Arabidopsis thaliana: one gene and its partner. The protein of the gene in region 1 interacts with the protein of each later gene in a pairwise test. Each region holds a gene or a part of one and is shown on either strand. Other genes may lie near its edges.

Region 1 (7,048 bases):
TATAGCTTGGAAGATTGCTAAAAGCAATTTCTGGTGAAAGGAAGGGTACAATGACAGAGAGAATAGGGTGCAGGAGAATCTAACTCCCAAACTTAGCAATGCTTAGGTACCTTTCTTAATTACTTCTCTCTTCTTACACTCTTTCTCTCATTTCCCACTCATATACTATTTTATCTTCTTATTTCTTTTCTTATTATCCTTTTATATATAAATTTCCATATTTAATCACACATTTTTGCAGTTAACCCCTCCTTGTTCTATCTCTCATAGTCGACTCCATTTGCTCTTTCTCACTCTCAACCACTCCCACTACTCACTCTCGTTTTTTGAGAAAACCCAAATCATAAAAACCAAAAGACATTCAATATTCCTTTTCAATAATCTTTTCTTGATTTCCATTTTCATCTCAAGTTTTTTAAAAACCCACCAAGTTTTTTTTTTCGCATGGATGAGGAGATCATAACTAATCTCTGCTAGCCTCTTCTTAGGTTTTCAGAAAGTTTCGTAATTATGGGTTTCGAGAGAACATCATCATCATTATCATTATTATCATCATCATTACCATCATCATTACAACCATCAGAAAACACGAGAGCCAAGTTCAGTCTCTTCTATTTATTGCTACTCTTCTTCGTCCTCTGTGTCATTGCCACCTTCACTATAACTCCCACTTCGACTTCTTCTCCATGTAAGCCATCTTTCTTTTTCTCGTTATCATATTAATTATCAACTTTCTCAAACATTAATATCTTAGAATATTTTTGGTTACGTAACATAAATTATTACAGTACCATTCATATATTATCTTGTTGTAAAAATGCAGATAATAGGAATTCTAACTCTGGGACACTAGGGAACTTCTATGCAAAGGTTCGTAAACTGTTTATACCTCTTACTCTCTTGCGTGATCTAACAAGTAACAATTGTTTTTGTTTTTTTGCTGTTGAGTCAACAATTAGTTAGGAAATAGGAATCAAAAACCGTGTTAACTTCCTTTTTTTTGGCATAACTATAACCACATAAAATCCAAAAAAAGCTTAGTTTCTATTTTCTCCTGATTCAAGCATCTTTGGAGGACAAGATTGATGTTGATTCATCATTAAACACACTTTAAAAATAATATAAGCTTTTTTTTTTTTTTCCATAAATAATATAAGCTTATAATGCGGGGTTCTCTAAAAGGACTACACAAACAAAAGGGTTGTGGCTAAACTGCGCTTGAACAGTCAGCGACTGTGACGGCATGTCGAGACTGACTGGGCATGCAGAGATGCCATGTACTCCTAAAGAAATTCTCAGCCGTCGGATTGGTTTCAGCGCACACGAGGACAAGGACAGTACTCAACTTTTGGTTCGTTCACCACTCGTGGGACCCTGCCTTGCTTACGATCTCGATCGAGTGGTAATATTAGCCCCCACGGTGCACGTTAACGTATGACAGGCTCTTGGAACTTCTCAATCTCTCTGCCCTTTTTGGTAATGTGCGTAGCGCTTTTTCCGGAGCGGTTTTCCCGCGTCTTGTCTCACATCCCCAACCCTGTCTTAAAAATGTTTTTTACCTAAACTGCGCATTTTAACAATAATATGCGTATGTCAGCATGAAATCGCACGTTAGTAACGCAGTCCTCTCACTATCTTATGTTGATAGCAGCTGAAATTGAGTTCACTAGAAGATACTAATTATTGAACGTTAATTAGAAAATACTAATTATTCTTGATTAACCATATTGTTTGGTTTGTTTTACTAGATGTATTATCCTAATGAAGAAAATAATAAATTAGGATATGTATACGTTTGAATATATATTTAGTAATGAAAAATGTGATAATATGTACGTTTTGAGTATGTGTTCAGGAGGAAGGCAAGAGTACCGTAGTGATAAAGAAGACTAGGAAGATCGGTGACCGGAGCAAGGAGGCAGAGCTACGGAGGATTCTAAGGGGATTGGGCTCATCTCCACCACGGTGCTCCTCCAAGTGTGGAAGATGCACTCCGTGCAAGCCTGTTCACGTTCCGGTGCCTCCCGGCACGCCTGTCACCGCCGAATACTACCCGGAAGCTTGGAGATGCAAGTGCGGCAACAAGTTGTACATGCCATGATCTTTTATAATATATATACTCACATATATACATTATATATATGAATTATATGCATGTTCGTAGTTATATCTTGCCTCTACTCCAAATATTTATTATACATTGACATGTTGCTAGGACAACCTCAACGTGAAACTTTTGCTGATAAATTGATTGATGATGCTCGTATAGACGATATGACGTTCTTAGCATATGATTTCGTATATGGTGACATAATTCATGAATAATATCAACATTTGGTGTCAAAAGGAAACATATTTCTTGTCTTCTTCTTCAACGTACTTGCTTATAATGAACAAAAAATAAAAAAACGTACTCGCTTTCTAATAAGTATCACATAGGTTTAGGCTCATAAACATATGGACTAACATAAATAAACCAAAAGCCCAATAACATTACTCTTAGCATATACATATAAGTAAACTATTAACATCTGTCTGCGGGACTCGTTGATTTCATTTAAATTCTGTAGTCTCAGCTCGTTCAATTTAATCTATTCGTACACACTGATAATATTCAAGAAAACATATGCTAACGTATAACGTATTACGTATCCAAATACACCTTACACCACTCACACATAGCCCATATATAAAAGTTTGAAGGATTTAAAGTCGCAGACTCGCGGTCATTTTTTTTCTTTAAAGTCGCAGTCATTGACTGACTGATTCTTCTTTCTTATTGAAAGGTTTTTTATGTAAAGACGAAAGTTTAATCAGGATGTGAATATGGTACGGCCCATGTTCTTTATTCCTTTTTTTTTTTTTGGTGCAAAGTTCTTTCTTATTCTATGTTAGAAAAATAATCAAATTACCGACGCGAGCAAAGGTTATTATTTCCTGGCTATTAGTCTATAACTGATAAATAATTAGTCAATCAGATCAAACAATAGAGAAATAATTAGTCTGCAATCAGCGATTATTAAAAAATAAAATAAAATAGAAACATATCTCAGCACCGATTTTTCAACAGCCGGCCCACGATCCAGAACCGTCCAGCTTGAAGCCGGCGCCGCGTCGACTTGTTCCACCGTTCGGATATTGCCACGTGTGTGAGAGACACCTGCCATTACCTCGTGGAACATGTTTTGTTAGTATAAGTTACTAACCAAGTCGCTATCTTCAATTCTTCATTACCTAAGAGTTGAATAAAAAAACAACCATATACGATGAGACACGCAAATAACTGATATACGAAACAATTATTTATTGATGTACATTCTTCTAACTATAATACTACAAGATTCTGAATAGTTTTAGATGTAAAAAGTACGAGAAGAGTTATGATCAGAGTAAGTTAAGTGATAAGATCATGACACGTAGGCAGAGGAAATAAAGTAGAAACTATCGACAACATAATAATTGAGTGAGTACAAAAACCACGTAATAATTAGGTGTACACTGTAGTCTGTAGATCGATTGTACAAAATGAAAAAACTATATGATTTAAGGAACTAGATATACATATGCATCGACTCAAGAACAGTTGCTTTATGTGAAGACTATCAATTACATTATCGGCTAAATTTGGCTTCATGTGTTGAATAGATGGATTGTGTGCTCAGGTAGTTGTGTCAGTTAATTATAACAGTAAACCTTCACTGCTTCACATATATAAAATTTGGGTTAAAAAAACTTTAACATTTTATTTTTTTAATTGACAACAAACAAATTCTGTAACGGTTACATATAATAGTGCTTCAGTTAAACTCCTTTTTTAGGCAACTCTAATTCCTTTATACCCTTAATCCATTATTATTCTATCGAACTTATCTTTTTAAAAGCTTCCGCGTTACGCCATCACTTCTCCACCATTTAAATACCTAAACCACTTTCTTTCAAATTTCTTATTCCATAAAAAGTAAATTCACAACAAAACCAAAAAAAAAAAAAGAGAAGAAGAATTAGCTTACGTGTTCATCACATCTGCATTACGCGCAAACGAAACAGATTCAAATTCTCCGGCGAAGTTTTCTTATTCATCAATCAATCTCTGGATTCATCAATCATGCCAGAGATCGAGATTGCCGCCGGCAGCGGCGACAACAACGACGCCTTATTCGGTAAATATGAGCTCGGAAAGCTTCTCGGATGCGGCGCATTCGCCAAAGTCTTCCACGCACGTGATCGTCGTACCGGCCAAAGCGTCGCCGTGAAAATCCTCAACAAGAAAAAACTCCTCACAAATCCAGCTCTAGCCAACAACATCAAACGCGAGATCTCAATCATGAGAAGATTATCTCATCCAAACATCGTCAAGCTCCACGAAGTAATGGCGACAAAATCAAAGATCTTCTTCGCAATGGAGTTTGTTAAAGGAGGAGAACTATTCAACAAAATCTCAAAACATGGACGTCTTAGCGAAGATTTAAGCCGGAGATATTTCCAGCAACTGATCTCCGCCGTTGGTTATTGCCACGCTCGCGGTGTTTACCACCGCGATCTCAAACCAGAGAATCTATTAATAGACGAAAACGGAAACTTAAAAGTTTCCGATTTCGGTCTAAGCGCGTTAACGGATCAGATCCGACCCGATGGGTTGTTACATACCTTGTGTGGTACTCCGGCGTACGTTGCGCCGGAGATTCTATCTAAAAAAGGATATGAAGGTGCTAAAGTTGATGTATGGTCTTGTGGAATCGTCTTGTTCGTTCTCGTCGCCGGTTATTTACCGTTTAACGATCCGAATGTGATGAATATGTATAAGAAGATTTATAAAGGAGAGTATCGTTTTCCTCGTTGGATGTCTCCAGATCTGAAACGATTCGTTTCTCGTCTTTTAGATATTAATCCTGAGACTAGAATCACCATTGATGAGATTTTGAAAGATCCTTGGTTTGTTAGAGGAGGTTTTAAACAGATCAAGTTCCACGATGACGAGATCGAAGATCAGAAAGTGGAATCGTCACTAGAAGCTGTGAAGAGTTTAAACGCGTTTGATTTGATTTCTTACTCGTCGGGATTGGATTTGTCGGGATTGTTTGCTGGTTGTAGTAATTCGAGTGGTGAATCGGAGAGGTTTTTATCGGAAAAGTCGCCGGAGATGTTGGCGGAGGAAGTGGAGGGGTTTGCGAGAGAGGAGAATCTGAGGATGAAGAAGAAGAAGGAGGAAGAGTATGGGTTTGAGATGGAGGGGCAAAATGGGAAATTTGGTATCGGGATTTGTATTTCGCGGTTGAATGATTTGCTTGTGGTGGTGGAGGCACGGCGGAGAGGTGGTGATGGTGATTGTTATAAGGAGATGTGGAATGGTAAACTCAGGGTTCAACTTATTCGCGTTTGCGATCAGACGTCGTCAACAAACGCGGCTATTTAAAAGAACGCTATGAAGTTTTCTACCGTGCTTTCAATTTTAAAACGCCAATCGCGTTTCGTTGGTTGGATTTGGTTTCTACTACTTTTGTTTCGGAATTAAAAACAGAGAAAAAATAATAAAAATTAATGTATGTATTTAAATACTGTACCAAATTGTAGGTATCTATTTTGTGCTTTTTGATCAATGTGTTACTATGTACAACAACAAGTCTAAAATTGCATTTGTAGATACTTCACTCTTTTGTATAATGTAGAAAATGTTCTTCTATTTATAGTTTGGATTTTCCAATTTTACACATTTGTACATAACTACTTTTTAAAATCAACCATGCAAATTGTATTAAGTTAAAGTGCATGATAACCAAATCAGATTAATAACCAATGAATTGAAAATAAAAAGTAGATAAATTACTAAAATAAAATAATCTCTAAATCGCATAAACTCATCTAAACTCTCAAAAATCCATACATTACACATTTTTTTTTTTTTCAAAAAGGCTTTCAATTCTATACATTTTTCTGCTTATCAAATATGGCTTCTTCACTTTAATATTTATGTATAGAATTGAAAGCATTTTTGAAAGAAAAACTTTGTGTAATGTATTATTGAACAAATGAAATGATTGAAATGGGAGTTCCACATCCAGTGAAGAAAAAGCATTAAAAAGTATGTATAGAATCAGGGAACTTCAAAAATTGAAATCTGCAGCTTTATAAAAAGAAAAGCTATTATTGTCTACTTGATTGGATATTACAACTCAAAACGAGTGAAGGTTAAGGAATCATTATCATTATTAAAGCATCATCATAAGCACCAGCCTTTTGTTATTCTTCTCATCATTTGTTTGGCCAATTTAAAATTTTAATTAATATCATCTCACCATAGTTTCTGCCCACCTTTTGGTTTTAGGTGCAAATGGAAAAACTCTGGCAAATTAGGTTGTTTGGTGTGAATTAGGAAAGTAGAATGCTTATTGAATATTCTTGACTATATCTAAACTCTCTTTATTCACTTGGGTGATTTCCTCATAAAAATATTATTGTACCAAACTCTCTGAAATCAAAGTTTACTATATAGCTAAAATAAAAACCAAAAACTCTACTAAACCAAAGTTAAGAATAAATTCTTTATTAGAGACAAACTCAAAATTGAAAACCATCATTTATTGTATCTGAAAAGTAAAAAGAAAAAGAGGATATAATATGAGGAGAGATTATTTGAAAGCTGAAATTTTAGTTGCGGTAAAATTTGACATAAGTGAGCAAATTTTATAAGCTCTAAAATCAATAGGAGACCTATCACGGTATCACTATCATGATGGGTAACAATGTCATGTGAACCAAGTAAAACAAAATACAGTATAGGAAATGAATTATAAAAAATTGGGCCATTATAAAATTGGGTCATTGAATACAGTGGGCCTTAATCATACATTTCGGCCCATTCTCATCCTTAAGAGATAAAACGGATTTTTTAGTGTAATAATCTGTCGTCTTCAACGGTCGAATTGAATCCAAGAGATATGAGAGAGAAAAGGGGAAATCGGAAAGCCCTAGATCCCGTCGGTGAGGATGGAGTCACCGGAAAAGATGGAAAAGGCTTCTTCGCCTGTTATCTCTTGACCTCTCTTAGCCC
Region 2 (6,997 bases), on another chromosome or scaffold:
TTTTTAAAACAGAAAAGTATTCTTTAAATTATTATTATTGTAACATTTGTGGTTTTATTTTAGGAGTGGGTTTTACTTATTTGTGTGTCTTAAATACATTTTGTCAATGAATTTGATTTCCGAATAGGTAATTTTGCATCCGGGGAGGCTTCGAGTCAACTGTGCTTCAATCCTTGCACTCCTCAACTTGGCAATAACGAGTGCAATACGATTTGTATGAACAAGAAATACAAAGAAGGTTCTTGTGTTGGTTTTGGAATTCCCCCTACTTCCAAATATTGTTGCTGTAAAACTTAAATAGTTATTAATTAGAGTTTGAACGATAATAATATTGATATGTTTTTTACTAGTTGAATAATAATATAAGATTTGATCTAATGAGATTAGCACATTTTATTGATTATGTATTTATGTTGATATATTTTGAATCTGATAACACGCTTCTAGCGATAGGAAGTGGATCTCGATGACCTTGGCACGGCTCGCGAGTCCGGTCAATTTAGAAGTGATTTGCGTTTCTATGAAGTTTGGGATGTTATAACAAGTTGCTTCATGGTTCATGCAATTTGTTTTTGTTTTTCATGCAATTTGTTAGTTTTATCTTAGTTTACTTTGTTTTGTATCTTTGGTGTGTAACAAGTTACTCCTCGTAGATTCGATTACAATCGTGCTACAAAGGCATTTCATCATGCATATGCGATATAACGTAGCTGATTGGCTTTGCGAATTTGAGAAACTTAAGGCCCAGCTCAGTTTAAACCTGTTGTAAGAAACAAAATTGTTGTGTTTGAGATTTATTATCTAGTCTTGTCATTTGGATCGACAAACGCAGACCCATATCCAAATTCTATTATATATAATAACACAACTTGTTGAAGTCAAACTTAGGATAGAAAGAAATCAAGATTTTTTTATCTTCCTTTGAAATGTGGGCAGGTTACTACATTGCCAAAGACTACACAATAATGGTCAATTGGCTTGTATAGTTAAAAAAAAAACGAAAATAATGGAAATAACTATGAGTTAATAGTTAATTAGTTATGACTCGTATGGCCAAACGACCATGTCATGTAACTACAAATAGACTTAATAGCGTGCAGAGAGATTTGTGTGATGAAGAAATACAAAGGAGGTTCTTGTGTTCCCTATGGAATTCTCTTTGTTTTCCAAAATTGTTGTTGTAAAAACTAACTAATTATTACTTATAAATTCTCTCCCCAGTAATATACACATTTTTTCTCATACAATATCTATAAGTACAAGTATATAATTTATTTATTTCATATCATTGCATGATTTTATTGTATTTTTATGGCCGCAAGGTTCAATGAATGGTTAGGCGTATGTATTTTTTTTTCCAATAATCCAAGAGACTAGAATGGACCACATATTTATAAAATACTATGATGTGTATGTCTCTATACACATACATAAGTGTCATTCAGTCAATTACAGAATTTCAAAGTAGCATCTAGCTACTACTTAATTTATGTTATAGTTGATAGTAGCTATTTTTGATATATCTCATCTCACTGTATGAACAGTTTTATAACTTGGGTTTGGTGTTTCGAACAACGTTGACTATATATTTTCTATTTTAATCTTTCATACACATTTTCTCATAGTGGATAACTATTTAAATCTTCCTTTTAGGTGTATTACTATTTATTTGTGCTGATTTCAAACCAATCATAAGGGAAAACAAGTCGATTATTTCTTTTTTCTTGTATTATGAAATTGAAAACTCCCCTTTATGAGTCTATGACCAATTAAATATAATCACTATTGTCTCCTGCTCCACCAAATGTGTTCTTAATCATCAAAATCAAGATGGTGCAAATAGAATAATAAAACTATAACACCAGAAAATTTTCGTACAAGTTGAAGACCTTTTAGGTATAACGAATGGAAAGTTCTTCGAATTGGAAAATAAGAACAATTAGTGGAAGAAAATGCACAAGAAATCCAAGATTAAGAATACACTTAACTCTTAAAATACTAAGTATGTACGTAACACACTTATCAACCATCTTATGACCTTTTGAGAGTCGACTAATGTAAAGTTCTTCGAAGCAGAAAAAACAATTAGTAGAAGAACAAAGTCAAGATAAAGGTACACTAGCTGTTATCCTCTTAGGTTTTATAACTTTTTTAAGTGTAAACAAATAGAAACCTTTTCGGATCAAAAAAAGTAGAACAAAAAAAAAAAAAAGAGTCAACATAATAATAGACTAAGCTCTTATATTACAAAGTATGTAACACAATTACAAACCCCCATTAAAAAAAAGTAAAAATAAAACAAATAAGATCAAGAAGCAAAATAAATAAGACATTATGATAGATTCAAAGCATTATTATTATGATCATGATGATGATGAAACATCAACATGTCGCTACCAAAACTCTCTCTATCATCTTCGCTTCCACCATTGACATAAAAAGTCGAAGACGAATTCAACGGTGTCGAGCTGCTCGATGAAGTTCCCGCTAGCATTGATGAACTGAAATTCCATCCGGCCTTAAAATTCTCACCATCATTAATGTGGTCGGATACAAATGCGGCTGATGAGTAGTTTCCGGCTTGAGGGACTTTGTTATTAGATGGATCACCTGTACCGGTATAACTGTGATAATCTCCCAAGTATTCTCCATTGTTTTGCCATTGAACGGGTGGTGTTGAGTTGAGCAAACCGGTGAAAGTGGTTTGGTCAGTGTTTAGGTCGTTTTGAAGCTGTTGGTTTGGTTGGTATGATTCGGTCTGAACGTTGTTGAGAGAGGCAGTGAGATGATTCAAGATATCAGGATTAATATTTGAAGTAGTGAGATCAAATGGAGTATTCATCGGTTGTGACATAGATTTAAACAATGATGAGGTAAGAAACGAAGAGAGCTGGAGAAGATTAATGCGGGGACAATGAGTCACCGGATCAATCCCCATTCGTAAGAGTTTCTTTTTAATATGTGTGTTCCAATAGTTTTTGATTTCATTATCTGTTCTTCCTGGTAAGTGAATAGCAATTGCGGACCATCTATAGAAGAAAAAATATCGTGTTATAGATTTTAAGTTAAAATCAAAAAGAGAAGTATAAGTTTTAACTTGTTAAGATATTAGCTGCAGCGAGTTGAAGATTGCATGCTTAGCTTTAGACATTTGACCTTGGTATAGTGCTTAACTATGTTCTTGTCTTTTAGTTGAATAAAATAAAATATGCAAGTAATATTATAACAAAAATGTAAAGACATGGAAGTCCAATGAAGTAGGTGTAGTAGTGGAAAACTAGGTCATTTTTTACTTAATTTAATCATACATGTAAACAATTATACACTAAATGAAGAAATGAAAAATTGCAGATAGACTAACTTGTTTCCAAGAAGACGATGAAGTTGAATGATGGTTTCTTCCTCTTGAAGAGAGAACTCTCCTCTCTTGATATCGGGTCTTAGATAATTCGTCCATCGCAATCTACAACTCTTCCCGCATCTTTTTAACCCTTTTAAGATTCACACCAAGAAAAACGAATAAGAACCATGATTGTTTTAATTTTAATTCTAACGTTGACATGATCTAGCATGATAATCATTATTAGTAAATTTTAAACATAAACGTAAAACAAAACGCAGGAAAACATATTGTAGCTGATAGGATTTAGCTATTTGTATATATACATGCGTTAGGGTAGGAATTTACCGGCGTTCTTGGGAAGGGTACGCCATTTGCCGGGACCGTGCGTTTGAATATAGCCTACGAGCTTCTCGTCTTCCTCCGGAGTCCATGGCCCTTTCTTCACTTCACTTTCCTCCGAGCTTGAAGATTTTCCCATCTTTTTCAAATGTTATATGTGAGAGAACTAGAGAGAGAAGCTAATAAGCTTTGAGAACTTGATTACAGAGAAAATTTGGTTTCTTCATGAATTATGATTTATGTATATACAAATATATATATGGTACATGCAAAGTCAAGTCAAGGAGATTTGGTACCGCCCTTCCATCATCTATCTAAATACGTGTCTTTTCTTGATGAAATACGGAGACAAAATGAAGTAGAAAAAAACTGCTTATTATGTTGACAAAACAAAAGAGTAATTTTTACTCTCTATCTTTAAAGTCCTTACTAACAAACAAAAAGCTCTGACCAAAGAAAAAAAGTAATAAACAAAAAGCATGAGACTAAACCATCTCTATTAACCCTAAAAATAATTAATATTGATGGAGTGAGAACACATGGCAGAATATGGGTGGTGTATGAGGACGTGTGATAGATATGTGAAGAAGGTTCCATTTGTTTTGGTCTCTTTGTCTCAAATCATCAAACAGTTTTCAAGATAGCTATGTTGCGTGTATGTTTAATGTTTACTCATCTGTCATCACTATAGCAATATCATATACATAAATAGACAGATTCAAAATAAGAATTTTATTGAATAAGGTGTGGTTACAGTGATTATACTGAATAAATATGCTTATTTAGCCTTCTAAGTTTTGTATACAAATAATTTCTCTTCTAAGGAGAAAATAAAAAGGAAATATGTAAAGAATGATTACGATAGTGTAAAAAAGTAAAAACAATAAAAATCCAAACGGATCTCCAGTGTGCTTCATCGGTTGGAAATAGATATATATCATCGTGTCATCAAATTTCAGTAGCAAAGCTAGATTGTCCTGCTTGAATTAAGACATCCGATCGAAGTGACTCAGTTTGAGTAACGTCCTGCATCGCACCAGAGTTTCTGTTTACTTCAATAACAATTACATAACGACAAGTTTGAATAACTGATAATCTAAGACATGTATTTTGTTTTTACTAAGTTAGGTAAATTAACGACAAAGCGTTGTTGCAGTGCAACATACGTAAAGAACAAGGCATGTTAACGGTCAAAATACATGTGTGATTAATGAAACAATACTATATAATATACATGTGTCATTGAATTGCAGAGACTTTGGTCTCAGTCCGAAACATGGTTGATTTGACAAGTCAGGGATTTGAAATTTTTTGATTTGATATTTGTAAGAAATTATTACTATTTTAGTTAAATTTGGTTAGTATAAGTTTTAGATTATTTGGAAAACAAGTTATCGGCCGGTTTAAGAGTGATTATATAGAAAGGTTTGGTATTAGAGAAGAATGATAAAGTGACTTTTTAAATTAGGAGAATGACCAATTTATCATTGTTTAGTGCATAGGCGTATTTGACAAGTAACCCCTTGCTCTTGTTACATGTTAAATATTATTGTGTCATATAAAGAGGTAAAATTAATTCTACACTTTATGCGGTATAGCCGTATAAAACATGTTAGGTTGATAATAAACAAGTTATCATAACGTTTTCAACAAGTGCCAAAAATATAAACTTACACTAACACTAAACCGTATATATCGTTTTTTTTAATATAATATTATTTCTATAACATCGATATATCTAGTAAATAGTTATTTTGCGTCCATATAATTCATATTTTTCGTTATATAACAATGAAATGAGTGTTTTTCCACGGTATAGAATATTTTACATGTAAACTTTAAATCATATCATTGTCTCACAGGGAATTGATTCATGAAGGTAAATTTTGTGATGCATGTTTTAAAAATAAAAGACTGCTTTATCAAAAAAAAAAGTAGACCCTTTAACAAAGAAAAAAAGATCCTGCCAAAAATGAATAATGATAATTAGTTATTAAGACGACAAGAAAATTCAGATAATGTGGTCAAATATTTAATTTCTCAACTAAAAGGAAATACAATACATTGTTATTGGTAGATTATGTTATTGCCTGGTTTATCTACAACAATCCCAACAACCCAATCGTCTTAGTAACATTAAAATAATCGCTGTCACAGGAAATTTTGATGAACTCAAGCCTCGTTTCAGATTTATCAGTTTTCTTATAACTTTGCATCTACCAATTATGCAAGTCTTTTCATAAACTAATCTATCGATTATGTAAGTCTTTTCATAAACTAATCTATCGATTATGCAAGTCTTTTCATAAACTAATCTATCGATTATTTAAGTCTTCCGCATGTAAATTCGTTAATCAGCTACCATCTTCATTTTAGTTTGGTATAAGAAGTTATTTATACTGTATGATCTAAATTACATTTAAATATTAAGGGTTATTTTTTCTTTTTTCCGAATGAAGTTCTATTATTGTTTAAGACTTTCACGCCTCTAAGGCCGATGGCCGACCATAGAGACAAAGACATGGACTGAAACTAATGATCGAAATCACCTTGCTCATTTATCTTTCCAATTTCTTTTATATAAACAAATTATAAACAAACACACACAAAATAAACAGACGTAACTTAACCTTTAATTCTTATTTTTAAGAAACAATGACGTAACGATTTAGCAAAAAACACCTAACCTTAGATTTCATGGTGTATAATATATCCACGACGCCTTGAACACGTACAAGTGTGGTAGCAAGCACTAGCAACATAGTAAACTAAAAAAAAATTGCCAGCAGCATAGTAAACTAATTATTCTCTTGGATTTTTCTCATATTCGGATATATAGCATATTTTTTAACTTATCTTAAAATCAAAGTTAGGATTAATTAAAAAAAAAAAATCAGTAACATCATCTTTATTTTAGTTTAACCTCATAATACGAATACCTTAGCAAAAACTATTAGTAGTTATAAATGTCCCAAAACAATTTTGTCATAAATGTCCAATTATGTGTACTGGTTTTTTGACTCTTTAAAAAAAAAAAAATTGTTGTCTTTTGATTTCTGCCCCTTTATTGATGTTATATCCTATGCTTATTTTTTTTTTTTTTTTTATTTTTTTTTTATTTTTTTTTTTTTTGTCACAAATCCTATGCTTTGTTTTCTTTATCTTTCTTGGCATATATTCAACAAACAAACAAAATAGTCTAGAGACTATAGACTATAGACCACAGACTATAGAGAGACACCATATCCAAATTAATTGAACGAGTCATCTATATATACATTTTTGCAGCCATTTTAGCAAATAAATCCTAGACTT

Evidence for each region.
Region 2: the proteins of SIP4 (region 1) and MYB49 interact in a two-hybrid assay, tested with the Arabidopsis thaliana proteins (one large-scale study listed by BioGRID).

The regions. Positions count from the first base shown.
Region 1 is NC_003071.7:12,935,630-12,942,677, reverse strand, and holds SIP4 (SOS3-interacting protein 4), read left to right. Parts: upstream 1-3,843; 5' UTR 3,844-4,105; coding exon 4,106-5,413; 3' UTR 5,414-5,699; downstream 5,700-7,048. Other genes in the region: CHAL (allergen-like protein), read left to right, coding at 511-688, 824-916, 1,227-1,402, 1,856-2,101; AT2G30350 (Excinuclease ABC, C subunit, N-terminal), read left to right, coding at 6,936-7,048.
Region 2 is NC_003076.8:22,014,025-22,021,021, forward strand, and holds MYB49 (myb domain protein 49), read right to left. Parts: upstream 4,038-6,997; 5' UTR 3,822-4,037; coding exon 3,689-3,821; intron 3,492-3,688; coding exon 3,362-3,491; intron 3,030-3,361; coding exon 2,333-3,029; 3' UTR 2,119-2,332; downstream 1-2,118. Other genes in the region: LCR83 (low-molecular-weight cysteine-rich 83), read left to right, coding at 128-297.